3 linked regions of the Oryzias latipes genome follow. The protein of the gene in region 1 binds, or shares a complex with, the protein of each later gene. Links are inferred from orthologs where the notes say so. Each region holds a gene or a part of one and is shown on either strand. Other genes may lie near its edges. The genes, in order: ik, zmat2 and sf3b3.

The links.
Region 2: ik (region 1) and zmat2 share a complex: the UniProt entries of both Homo sapiens proteins name them as parts of the spliceosome B complex. The link is inferred for Oryzias latipes from reciprocal best matches to the Homo sapiens genes IK and ZMAT2.
Region 3: ik (region 1) and sf3b3 share a complex: the UniProt entries of both Homo sapiens proteins name them as parts of the spliceosome B complex. The link is inferred for Oryzias latipes from reciprocal best matches to the Homo sapiens genes IK and SF3B3.

What each region holds. Positions count from the first base shown.
Region 1 is NC_019872.2:23,306,975-23,310,302, reverse strand, and holds part of ik (protein Red), read left to right. Parts: intron 1-384; coding exon 385-552; intron 553-847; coding exon 848-962; intron 963-1,044; coding exon 1,045-1,115; intron 1,116-1,192; coding exon 1,193-1,239; intron 1,240-1,886; coding exon 1,887-2,050; intron 2,051-2,132; coding exon 2,133-2,241; intron 2,242-2,310; coding exon 2,311-2,350; intron 2,351-2,429; coding exon 2,430-2,568; intron 2,569-2,647; coding exon 2,648-2,666; intron 2,667-2,766; coding exon 2,767-2,851; intron 2,852-2,984; coding exon 2,985-3,071; intron 3,072-3,328. UniProt on the Homo sapiens protein: Involved in pre-mRNA splicing as a component of the spliceosome. Auxiliary spliceosomal protein that regulates selection of alternative splice sites in a small set of target pre-mRNA species. Required for normal mitotic cell cycle progression.
Region 2 is NC_019872.2:3,288,516-3,292,865, reverse strand, and holds the start of zmat2 (zinc finger matrin-type protein 2), read left to right. Parts: upstream 1-2,008; 5' UTR 2,009-2,079; coding exon 2,080-2,097; intron 2,098-3,485; coding exon 3,486-3,585; intron 3,586-3,670; coding exon 3,671-3,794; intron 3,795-3,919; coding exon 3,920-3,993; intron 3,994-4,350. UniProt on the Homo sapiens protein: Involved in pre-mRNA splicing as a component of the spliceosome.
Region 3 is NC_019864.2:25,110,466-25,114,715, forward strand, and holds part of sf3b3 (splicing factor 3B subunit 3), read left to right. Parts: intron 1-219; coding exon 220-292; intron 293-1,140; coding exon 1,141-1,292; intron 1,293-1,431; coding exon 1,432-1,587; intron 1,588-2,294; coding exon 2,295-2,450; intron 2,451-3,780; coding exon 3,781-3,924; intron 3,925-4,144; coding exon 4,145-4,250. UniProt on the Homo sapiens protein: Component of the 17S U2 SnRNP complex of the spliceosome, a large ribonucleoprotein complex that removes introns from transcribed pre-mRNAs.

The sequences.
Region 1 (3,328 bases):
GGAATACAAAGTTGGGAGAAGCGCTCTCGTCTCGGCGGGAGAGATTCAGGAGTTGCTGAATTAATTGTACGGCGTTTGTTGCGGTCTATAGTAACCAGAATAAAGAACTTTAAAAGAGGTTAAGTCTCCGTGCCTCAGTTGGGAAAGGGACACTACATTATTGTATGTCTCTTTTGAAATTAGATTTAAAAATATGTGGCGTTTATGGCTCTCTCGGCCAAAAAGGTTCCCGACCCCTGCTGTAGACGAATGAGGAGGAAGGCTGGAACTGTGTTCAGTTTGGTTGTAAGACCGTTTCCTCACTTTGACTCCCCTGTCTGCTCACTTGATCCATCATCTGTAATTTATCACGAGTATTGATGATCGATGCTTGTCCACCTGCAGCTACTATGCTAAACTGCGACAGCAGGAGATGGAGCGAGAGCGCGAGCTTGCTGAGAAGTACCGTGACCGAGCGCGAGAGAGGCGGGACGGCGTCAACAAGGACTATGAGGAGACGGAGCTAATCAGCACTACGGCCAACTACCGAGCCGTTGGACCCACTGCTGAGGCGTGAGTACCAGAGCGCAGAACATGACACTGCAGACAGCTGCAGCAAAAGGATGTTCCTGTCTGTATTTCCTAATGTTCCTGTGTTTCCTGATGTTCCTGTTTCCTGATGTTCCTGTGTTTCCTAATGTTCCGGGGTTTCCTGATGTTCTTGATGTTCCTGTGTTTCTTAATGTTCCGGGGTTTCCTGATGTTCTTGATGTTCCCGGGTTTCCTGATGTTCCCTTGTTGCCTGATTTTCCACTGTTTCCTGATGTGCCTGTGCTTTCTAATGTACCTATGTCTCTGACCTTCTCAGTGACAAATCTGCAGCAGAGAAGCGTCGACAGCTCATCCAGGAGTCCAAGTTCTTGGGAGGTGACATGGAGCACACTCACTTGGTGAAAGGTCTGGACTTCGCTCTGCTGCAGAAGGTCAGGCTGGGCTGCTCCAAACATCTGGACCTGCAGAGTCGGGTCAGGAGGATTAACAGAACACATGTAATCTATCTTCTAGGTGAGAGCAGAAATCACTAGCAAGGAGAAGGAAGAAGAAGACATGATAGAGAAAGTCCAGAAGGAGGCCAAGTATGAAAGCAGAGCACACATCGTTATATTCTATCTGTCTGATTTACTGACTGTTTGTCGGTTTACCTGTCTGACAGGAAGGATGTGGAGCCGGAGGAGAAGATGGAGTTTAAGACCCGTCTTGGTGAGTGTGTGCAGATGCTACTTTTTGCTACTTTATGCTACTTTTTCAGTGATCGCTCTTCTAATAGATCAATTGTTTTTTTTTTCTGTAAGTGTATGTCCTCCAGGTGAGGCCAACATAGTAAGCAAACTCTCAGTGCAGCTGAAATTTGCTCTAATCTCAAATTTATATTAAATCTCACCAACATTTAGGCTTGTGTGCTTGAAAAATAAAGCTACGTGTTTAGTTTGGAGTTGATGACCTCATCCCCTCCCCCACATTGGAAAAAGTTTACTCTTATTTGGTTGACTTGATTAATTGACATCCGAAGCCACGCCTCTTATTCTATGCAGCGGGACCACAGAGTTTGAAACACTAGATGGATAATCTCTGAGATTTCTCAGAGGATTCTGAACTGCCCAAATGAAGCCTGAAGTGAGACAGGAACCTTAATCTGAAGTTCCTCTGCCAACCTCCTTAATGTTCCAGAATGTGTGTTTGGATTGAGACAAAGCGAAGTGAGAGCTTAGTTGAGTCTACCCACCTTCCATTCAAAGAAACCCCCCCCCCAATTAAGAATAGATAGGACTGGAAGTCTTTAAGACCTCAGGTGTATGTTGAAGGATGCTTTCATGACAGTCTGTTCTTTAAATGCTGCTTCTTCTCAGGCAGGAACATCTACCGGGTCGTGTTCCGATCCGGGGCTTTGGAAAGAAATGAGCTGTTCCTGCCCGGCAGGATGGCATACGTGATCGATCTGGATGACGAGTTTACCGACACCGACATTCCCACGACTCTGATCCGCAGCAAAGCTGACTGTCCCAGCATGGAGGCGAGTTTCTAAATCCACAGCTGTCCCAGGCCAGTGGATATGGTCGATGCTGAACTCTGACGTGTCTCCATGTTGGCAACAGGCTCAGACGACCCTGACCACCAACGATATCGTGATCTCAAAACTGACCCAGATCCTGTCCTACCTGAGGCAGGGAACCCGACACAAGAAGATGAAGAAGAAGGACAAAGGTGAGCCTGATGCATCTGCATGTGAGCATGCTCAGTACACCATAGATTAACTCTGTCTGTGTGTTTCAGGTAAACTGGATGATAAAAGAGCTCCGGAGACTGACCTCAGGTTAGTTGGTGTCTGCCCTCCCATCACCATTATTGCCCCCTTTGTTAGTCAGGGCCTCTGTAATGTCTTTATGTCTCAGCATCTTTGATGACATCGGGGACTACATCCCAACCACCGTCCCCAAACCCCCCAAGGAGAAGGAGCGCCACAGAGAGCGGGATGATGATGCTAAGAGGAGGCACAACTACTTTGAGAAACCCAGAGGAGAGGAGCAGCAGGTGGGTTGTAAAGAGAAGAGGGGAGGGGCTGCAGAGTGTTGTATACTAACTATATGTATGTGTGTGTCTGTGTGTGCAGGTGTTGGAGGTGGATACAGGTAAACCTCTGAATTCATATATTATTAGTAAATATCAATTACCAGTGGTGTTTTGTAACGCCTGTTGATGATTATGTCATCCATCCTGCTCACCTGGCAGGTCCCGGATCAGTGCAGGAGCACATCAAGATGATCAACAAGAACTTTGGAGGAGCTGCAGGCAGCCAGTGGCAGGGCCAGGAGCCATATCCTCTTTTTACCTGTTTGATAGCTTCCGGAGGGGGCGGAGCCTCCCTTTTGCATGTTTAGTTGTAGTTGTTTAAAAGTGGGTAGGGCTTCCGGATCACATGATCAGCGTTGTCTTTAATAAAAACAAACAGGATCTGTGAGACGAGATTCCAGCAAAGAGCAGCTGGGAGATTTCTTTGGGGGATCCAACTCGTATGCAGAGTGTTACCCGGCAACGTAAGGTTCAACCTGACACACTGACAACGCCAAAAAAAAGCACATACTGACAACGCTACAAACACACAACCCCACACGCCAACAACGATACAAACGCACAACCCCACATGCTGATAAACTAACAACCCTTCAAATGCACAATCTCACACACTTACAATGCTTCAAACACACAACCTGACACACTGACAACCCTACAAATGCACAACCTGACAGTCTCACAACCCCATAGCAGGTAAGGTAAACATTTTTGCGTTGCA
Region 2 (4,350 bases), about 20 Mb from region 1:
GGTTCAGGCTTCACGGCGTGTGTTAAAAAGTGCTAATGCACACTTCGTCGGCCATTAACCCTTAGTTAAAAGATCACAGAGTTGCTTTTGCATGATATAAGCCCTTTAAAAGTACACTTGGAAGTAGATTGTGCAGTCAGATTGAGAAGTCAAATTGTACTAATTCCACAGAGTGGTTGTGGAATCACTACGCACAGAGTGCACCTAGTGCGTTCACCATTTTGTAAAGCTGTTCAAATTTCAAAATCAAGTGGTTTAGAAATTATTTGCGAAAGATTAGTGTGTATTGATGCTCGCTACTAGATTGGCGTGTGTAGACCACAATGCAATTGAACAATTTTTGAGAGCAAAAATGTATTTTATTGTTTTGTATGAACACTCAATGATTTCATCATCAGAGCACAGTGGATTCATAAATAGTCTTCATGCATTGCTCATATTGATTAGATTTTAACTTTGGGAAATCAGTGATGTCATATTCGCAGTTTTAAAATAATGAAGTCAGCAAGGTGTCCTAATTGCTTTTAAAATCCGGGACATTGGATAGTCCCACACTTATAGTTTTATTAGTAGTTAGGGATTAGGGTGGGAATTCGGACATAGCCAGTGAATTGTCTGAACTCAATGAGTTATATCGCTAGAGGAGACACGCCCGCTTGGGAAGCCTGGCCGACGGTGGCGGAACGCAACGCCATCTTGGTGAGGTCAACGACGCCTACATGACAATGATTTCTTTAGCCTTTGGTAGCATCTAAGTAGCTTTTATATAATTTATATTTATTCAAATTTCTATATATTTATACATATAAATAAACACATGATAAATGTATATAATTTTTATATATATACATCATTTGATGCTTTTAAATAAGAGAAACAGTCAGCTTTAAAAGTTCAAACTTTAATGAAAAATGCATTGTTTTTAATTTTTAAACATTTCCAAGTTTTAGACCTCTTTGACATGTAATTGAAATTATTTAGAAAAGCCCAACAATAAGTCAATAATAATAATAAATAATAACAATATATAAATAATAAGTCAATAATAATAATAAATAACAAATATAAATAATAAGTCAATAATAATAATAATTAATAACAATATATAAATAAGTCAATAATAATAATAATAATAATAATAATAATAATAATAATAATAATAATAATAATAATAATAATAATGAATCAATAAATAATAATAATAATAAATCAATAGTAAGTCAATAATAATATTGAATGATAAAAATAAATCAATAATAGGTAAATAATAATAAATGATAATAATAAATCAATAATAAGTCAACAAAAAGTCCAAAAGTCAACAACAGATTTTCCCCTTTAAAAAAACAAAGAAAAGAAATAGATTTACCTCCTGATTCATGTTAGTGATAAATTTGTGTGACACAGTTGGTTTAGTGTCGGGTTTCAAGCTAACAGTCTGGCCAGTCTCATCAAAATCTGTTTCCTCAAATTGTTTTGAACATAGCCAGACTGTATTACTAGTTGGTACCACAGTGATCCATCTGGGTTAGCTCTTTTTATTGCTAAGGCCCACTTTTTCCTTAAGTCTGAATCCATTGGAAACCTGCAATAAAATTTCAGTCACTGAGTCAGAAATGTATAAATCTCTATTACTATAATAGCCTAGTATAATGTATACAGGTTTAACACAATAAAGTTTACATTTATATCGACAGCAAATTATACGTACATCATGCCTACATGTTGATAATCGCCCTGCAGCATCATGCATGAAAACATGTGTATGATTAATGATGCCCCTGCAGCATTAAAAGAAAAAAATATATAATACTTACCTGTGAAATGTTATGCCTTCCTCCTTCGTGGACTCATTTCTCTGATTTTGGCAGTTGAAACCCGAAAAATGAACTGGTATTTTGCAAGAAATGTGTTCACATGCATGCACTACAGCAGTAATTTGACCTCACCAAGATGGCGATGCTCTCCCCCCTTGAGGAATCACGTGATGTCTCCTCTACCGATAGAACTAAATTTAGACAGGAAACTAGCAATGACGAGCTGCAACATCCGGTGACGTATTTTCCGTAGGTAAACAAGATGGCGTCCGGCAGTGGGGTGAGTTTCCAAGCAGAATTTCTCTGCCCCTGTTTGTTGTAATACAGTTTAATTCAATAAACAAGATTAAAATTCTTCACTTTATATTTGGTACCGTGGAGGCGTTTTGACTGTAACCGTTACAGACATCAGCTGCTGCCGTTAGAAGCGCGGCCTCGGACTAGCAGCGGCTAACTCGCTCTGACGCTTGGGTACTTTATTTGCAGAATTTTACGGCCCTTTTTAAAAAAAAAAAAAATTAGTACCAAAAACGTTTTGACTCAACCGCCGTTAGTTTTTATCTTTAAAGGACTAATTCAAAGGTGTAACGAATTCCGGTGTGGCAAAATAAAAGCTCTTGAAGTTTATTTCGTAAAGCCGACTGTGATGATAATAAATGAAACTGTAATAATAAGGATAATGTCCTTTTTGGTTTTTGCAAATATGAAACAATGTTTCTGTTGCTATATTATAAAATTTATAAACCCACCCCTGTTGAAAATGTTTACTTTGATAATATGAATGAAAGGGAAGAGCTGTCGATCAATACAGACCATGAATTTCTGCTTTTTTTTTTTTTTTTTGGATGCTGGTGTGCCGCGGGATCTTTTTCAGGGTTAAAGTGTGCCGTGGCTCAAAAAAGGTTGAAAAACACTGGTCTAGAGTGACTTAGGGTTTCCTGTCCTGTAAGCACAGCTCCACCAGCAGGCGTATCCCCCTGGAGCCTGACGGCACCATGCATTTGGAGAGCTGATCAGTTTCAGGCTGCAGCTGCAGCCAGGATCAGGCTGTTGAACGGAGATTTCTGAAAAATCTAATGTTCATTATGAAGGATCTCTTTGGACTCATCTGTTTATCCAACATGGATGCTTCCCGTCAGCTGGATGTTCGGCCTGAGCCCTCCCCTTATCTCGGGTCACGGAGTAGGAACAGCCCTTTTCCCAAACACCATTAAATACGAGCAGCAGCATGGCTCACGCATAAATCATGGGTCACACGTTCCCCATGATTTGTGCGTTCATCCATACCTCTCTGAGCTTTTGGAATCTCGGTTAAGCTCATATCTTTCCCTGGAGGGACAGAGATCCAGGAGGAACCTCTGGGAAGAGCCAGCTCCTCCTGTTTGAGCTTGGAAGGTGCACAAGGCGTCAGCTCTGACAGTCCAACAGGCATCTTCACCGTCTGCATTTAAACATTCTTCTGACGAAGCATGAGGCTTTCCTGCTTTTGTTCCTTCTCTGTTGTTGTGTCTCTGTGGTTCTGTTTTAGAGTTTTATCAATGAAGTTGAGTTGAGAAGCTGTTGCTCTTTTGTCAGGAGGAGTAAAAGCTCCTCGTCTTCATCAGCTGAATGTTTGTTGAGATGTGAAGATAATCGAGGCGCTCTGAGTCATCTTCTCGTGTCTTCCAGTCCAGCAAGAACGACTTCCGGCGGAAATGGGACAAGGACGAGTACGAGAATCTCGCTCAGAAGCGGCTGAACGAGGAGCGCGAGCGGGAGCTCAGGGATGGTGAGGGCAGCGCTCTCCGTTCTTTGGGGACCCTTGGGGGTCAATCGCTTATCACCCCTGACGCATGACCTGTTGGCTCTTTCAGGAAAACCTGTCCCTCCCGTCAAGCGGGAGCTCCTGCGGCACAGAGACTACAAAGTGGATCTGGAGTCCAAACTGGGGAAAACTATTGTCATCACCAAGACCACCCCTCAGGCGGAGATGGGCGGGTGAGTTCCTGACGGCTTTGGGTTTGGAAAAATGGAAAACTGAAACTCTTTGAACCAATAAGAAAAAGTTGTGGAGCAGAAACGGACAGGTCTGGGTTCTGGTTCCGACATATTTTTTTTTTCAGATATTACTGCAATGTTTGTGACTGTGTGGTCAAAGACTCCATCAACTTTCTGGATCACATCAACGGCAAGAAACGTAAGTACACCTGTGCTTTAGGGAGGGGCCAAGAGCGCAGATGTAACGTGGATCATTTTATACAGTCAGGTCCATAAATAATGGGACAGCGACACAATTCCAACATGTTTGACTCTATATGCCACCAAAATGGATTTGAAATAAAACGAACAAGATGTGCTTTAACTGCAGACTGTCAGCTTTAATTTGTGGGTATTTCCATCCAGATCAGGTGAACTGTGTAGGAATTACAACAGTTTGCATCTGTGCCTCCCACTTGTTAAGGAACCAAAAGTAATGGTCAGAACAATAATCATAAATCAGACATTTACTTTTTAATACTTGGTTGCAAATCCTTTGCAGTCAATTCCAGCATGA
Region 3 (4,250 bases), on another chromosome or scaffold:
TTCTTTGACACTTTCATCATAAACATACTTGTATGCAGTAGTGATGCAACACTACGATACTGAGTTTTAAACTGCCAAAATGTTATGTAGATGTGATGCTTTATTGTTTAATGCAAGCAGAAGAACATTATAAAATAAAATAAAAAGTGAGAAAGCAGAATCTATCTTTTGTACTTTTTTTGTTGGTCCTCTTTTTCTGAGTTGTGTCCTTGTTCTCAGGTGTCAGAGATGGCTGTTTCTGAGCTGCCTGGTAACCCCAATGCTGTGTGGACGGTACGCAGACATGTGGAAGGTAACCCTACATTTAATATTTCACATTTATATTTACACAAAAGAGTCTAATACTGTAGTTATACTATATCTCAAATATAAGACAGAGAACTTTTATTTTTAGGGTAATTATGTTTTAGTTGAGTTTAGATGACGCAAAGTATTTGATGAATTATTTTTTCTTGTCAAATTGTAAAATACAACTACATCTGCCTTGTCCTATTGAAAATGCCATATAGGTTTTTCATTTTGAATTAAACATAAAACACCAGCGAGTGAATTTCAGGAAATGTAAAGCATCTGCATCGTCGTCTGCCCCGACTGTTGATTGAAAGCAGATTGACTCTGAAATCACTAAGTAACAATAGTTTTAATGTAATTTATTCATTCATCTGTTGATCTTGATACCGACGGTCTACATCTGCCCCTGGGGGTGTGAGCAGCTGCTCCATCAGTACAATGAGTGCAATAAAAGTTGCCCCTCGCTCAATCTATAGATTAGATATAGTTAAATAATGAAAAATCTGCCGCGTGTCAGCTCAGCTTCTTTTCATTAACCTTTTTATATATGTGTGTGCTTCAATTGTAAGACTGCAGAGGTTTTTTTGTTTTTCACACACATCACTTTGTTTCTCTGTATGGCTATATAATATATATGTTATAATTGTTATAAAGGGTTTACTTCAAGCAGTTGTCTTCCTCTAAATCAGTGTTTCAGACTGCTGCCATGCACGTTTGACTTTTTTTTTCTTTATAAAACACACCTGATCCACCTCTGACCTAAACATGGTGGGACTGGAGAAAAGGGGTTCAGAAACACGGCACTAAAATAAAAGCTAAGCCCCTTTTCTTACACTTCTGTTTTTGTAGACGAGTTTGATGCCTACATCATCGTGTCTTTCGTCAACGCCACTTTGGTTTTGTCCATCGGAGAGACCGTGGAGGAAGTGACAGATTCAGGGTTTCTGGGAACAACACCCACTCTCTCCTGCTCTTTGCTGGGAGAAGATGCCCTGGTTCAGGTGGGTCAAAAGTCACCTGTAGGCCATTCTTCACAGAAATGTTTTGGTCTAGCATTTAATTTTTATTTTTTTTTGGTAGTCTACCTTGTGTGCCTCTTTTGCTAAATGTATTTTCTCTTTTTTACCGTTTTGGGGACAGGTGTACCCAGATGGCATTCGCCACATCAGAGCAGACAAGCGAGTGAACGAGTGGAAAACTCCTGGTAAAAAAACCATTGTCCGCTGCGCCGTCAACCAGAGGCAGGTGGTTATCGCCCTGACAGGAGGGGAGCTAGTCTACTTCGAGATGGACCCGGTAAGGCTTTTATTAGTGCTCCCTAAGTGCAACATCGAAAGGACAAGTTACCTGCAACATATCAATACTTTGCAGCAACTCTGTGGAATTGGTCAATAGACTTGATCCAAATGACTCGAGCAATGACCAATAGGCCGGATTTATACAAGTTTGAATGTGGTGTGGACGCGGGCAGCCAACGCTGATCCGTTTTTTGAAACATACGGTCTGCTGTGTTCAAAAATAAAAACCTAAATAAAATGAGTTTATGGTTGTAATTTCACCGTAACTCTGTAAATGAAATGATCAGATGGGTCATTTTGTCTATCAAAAAAAAAAAAATTTTTTTTTATGTCCTAAATACGAATCGGTTTTATAAGATGTGTTTTTATTTTACATTAGATCAGCTCTGTGTTGGATAGATTTATCCTCTTTGAATGAACATTATAGGTGGATTTTGGCATCATCTCAGGTTAACTGGCACTAGAGCATTAGAGGGGACTGTTTACCGCCACTGTTCTAGATTACATTCCAGTAGATCATCTTTGGGTTCTTGTAGTTTTTTTTGGGATCAATCCAAGAGGAATCAGAACTGTGCGGTTGCTGTTTGCAGGAAGCATTAGAACACTTCTAAAAGTTCTACTAGATGGAACAGTGTTTTGTGATATCAGTGCTTCATAAAGAGGACAATTGTGTATGTGTTCCTCTCATACTTGTGTCTTCTGTAGTCTGGCCAGCTGAACGAGTACACGGAGCGGAAGGAGATGTCTGCAGACGTGGTTTGCATGAGCCTGGCAAACGTCCCGCCGGGTGAGCAGCGCTCCCGCTTCCTGGCTGTCGGACTGGTCGACAACACCGTTCGAATCATCTCCTTGGACCCTTCGGTACAAATGCAAATCTGAATGGCAGTTTATCTTGACAACTGCTGTGTAGGTGGGGTTCTGTAAAGGGAAAAATGTTTTTTATTGGTAACCTGAGGTATGGATGTAGACTTGGCCATTCACACTACAGAGAGAAGGAAAGCTATTAATCATTCTCTTCTGCTGCCAAACACCTGTAAAAAGTGCTCCTAACATCAGGAACCGGTTTGAATGTGTAATTTTTTTTCCTTTTGTTGGGATGTTCACTGAATCCTTTTCAAACACTTTCCAGTGTGAGCTGGTGTTGGTGCGTTTTATAAAATTGCTACACCCTTTTCTGTGTGGAGGCTGCTCAGATCTCTGACTGACTTCCAGGAACATCAGAACCCAGACACTCAAATGGAAAATACTTCAGAGTGAATCTGCAGAGTTTTATTGGACTTTAATCACAACTGCAGAATGTAGAAGAGTTTCTTTTTTCACGTTGATCCAAAGAAGTGGTGACAAGGATCAGACAAGCTTCTTTATGCTTCACGTAATGCCTTTCTGGATATCTGGAGATCAGGAATTCCCAGGTTGTGACATTTAACATCTGGATAAAGGTGAAATGACTCAAATCAATCTACTTTTAATCACATGTCAATAGTTAAATTTCAAATTGTTTACACATTTAAAGCTGTCTATTAATATAATTGCAAAAGCTTCTTAAGTGATAATTTCCATAATTAGACAAAAATAGTTGAAAACACTATTTTCTACACAGCACATTTGTTTATTGTTAGAGTTCAGCAATCTGAACAAAAAAAGTATTGGTTTAGCTCTGGTTTCAATGAATTGAAGGCAACTTGACAGTAAAATGAACACAATCCAGTGTCAAAACTTCCAAATGGAAAGATTAAACGTCTCAAAACAACAAACCAGAACTTTGACCATTTAAAGTCCACTTATTAATAAGCTTAAATGATTTCTTTGTTTAAACCCGCATTAAAGGAAAAAAAAGTTCTCGTACTGCACTTTAAAAAATAAAACAAAATATCCGATCTTTAAAATAGGGCGCAGTTTGTCGTTAAGCCCTTCCCAGTTGCCAGAGAGTAACCTACCATGTGGCGACACTCATATTTATGGTTTAAGTTGGTTTATTACTAAAGTGGAGCAGGTCTGTCTGTCCTGAGAAACATCAAGTTACAATTAGTAAAAGAGGTGCCTTTGAAAGGGTTTTTAGTGGCTGCATTACATTAATCTGGGGGGGAAAAGTTATTTTGTACTTAACATGTTTATCATTTTAAAGTCAGACTTTATAATGCTTGTACGTGCAGAGATTTGTTTAAAGCCTTTCCATTTTTATCCCCTCTAGGATTGTCTTCAGCCGTTGAGTATGCAGGCCCTCCCTGCTCAGCCAGAGAGTCTGTGCATCGTGGAGATGGGAGGTGTGGAGAAACAGGACGAACTTGGAGAAAAAGGCACTATGGGCTTCCTCTACCTCAACATCGGGCTGCAGGTGTTTTAAAAAACTGTTTGTGGCAAATTATTGACGTCTTTTCTGTACAATTTTATTATAGGATGCAAAAGAAGACCACATTGGGTTTTTTTTTTTTTCTTGTTAGTTTTTCAGAGCTGTTCCCTCCTCTGGACTTTAATTCATAATTATTCAGGCACTATTATTAAGAGCATTTCTATCAATGTAGTTTAGACATGTATTTGTTTTTCCTATCTATCAGAACGGTGTGCTGCTGCGGACCGTCTTAGACCCTGTGACTGGAGACCTGTCCGACACCAGAACCCGGTACCTCGGATCCCGACCCGTCAAGCTCTTCAGAGTCAGGA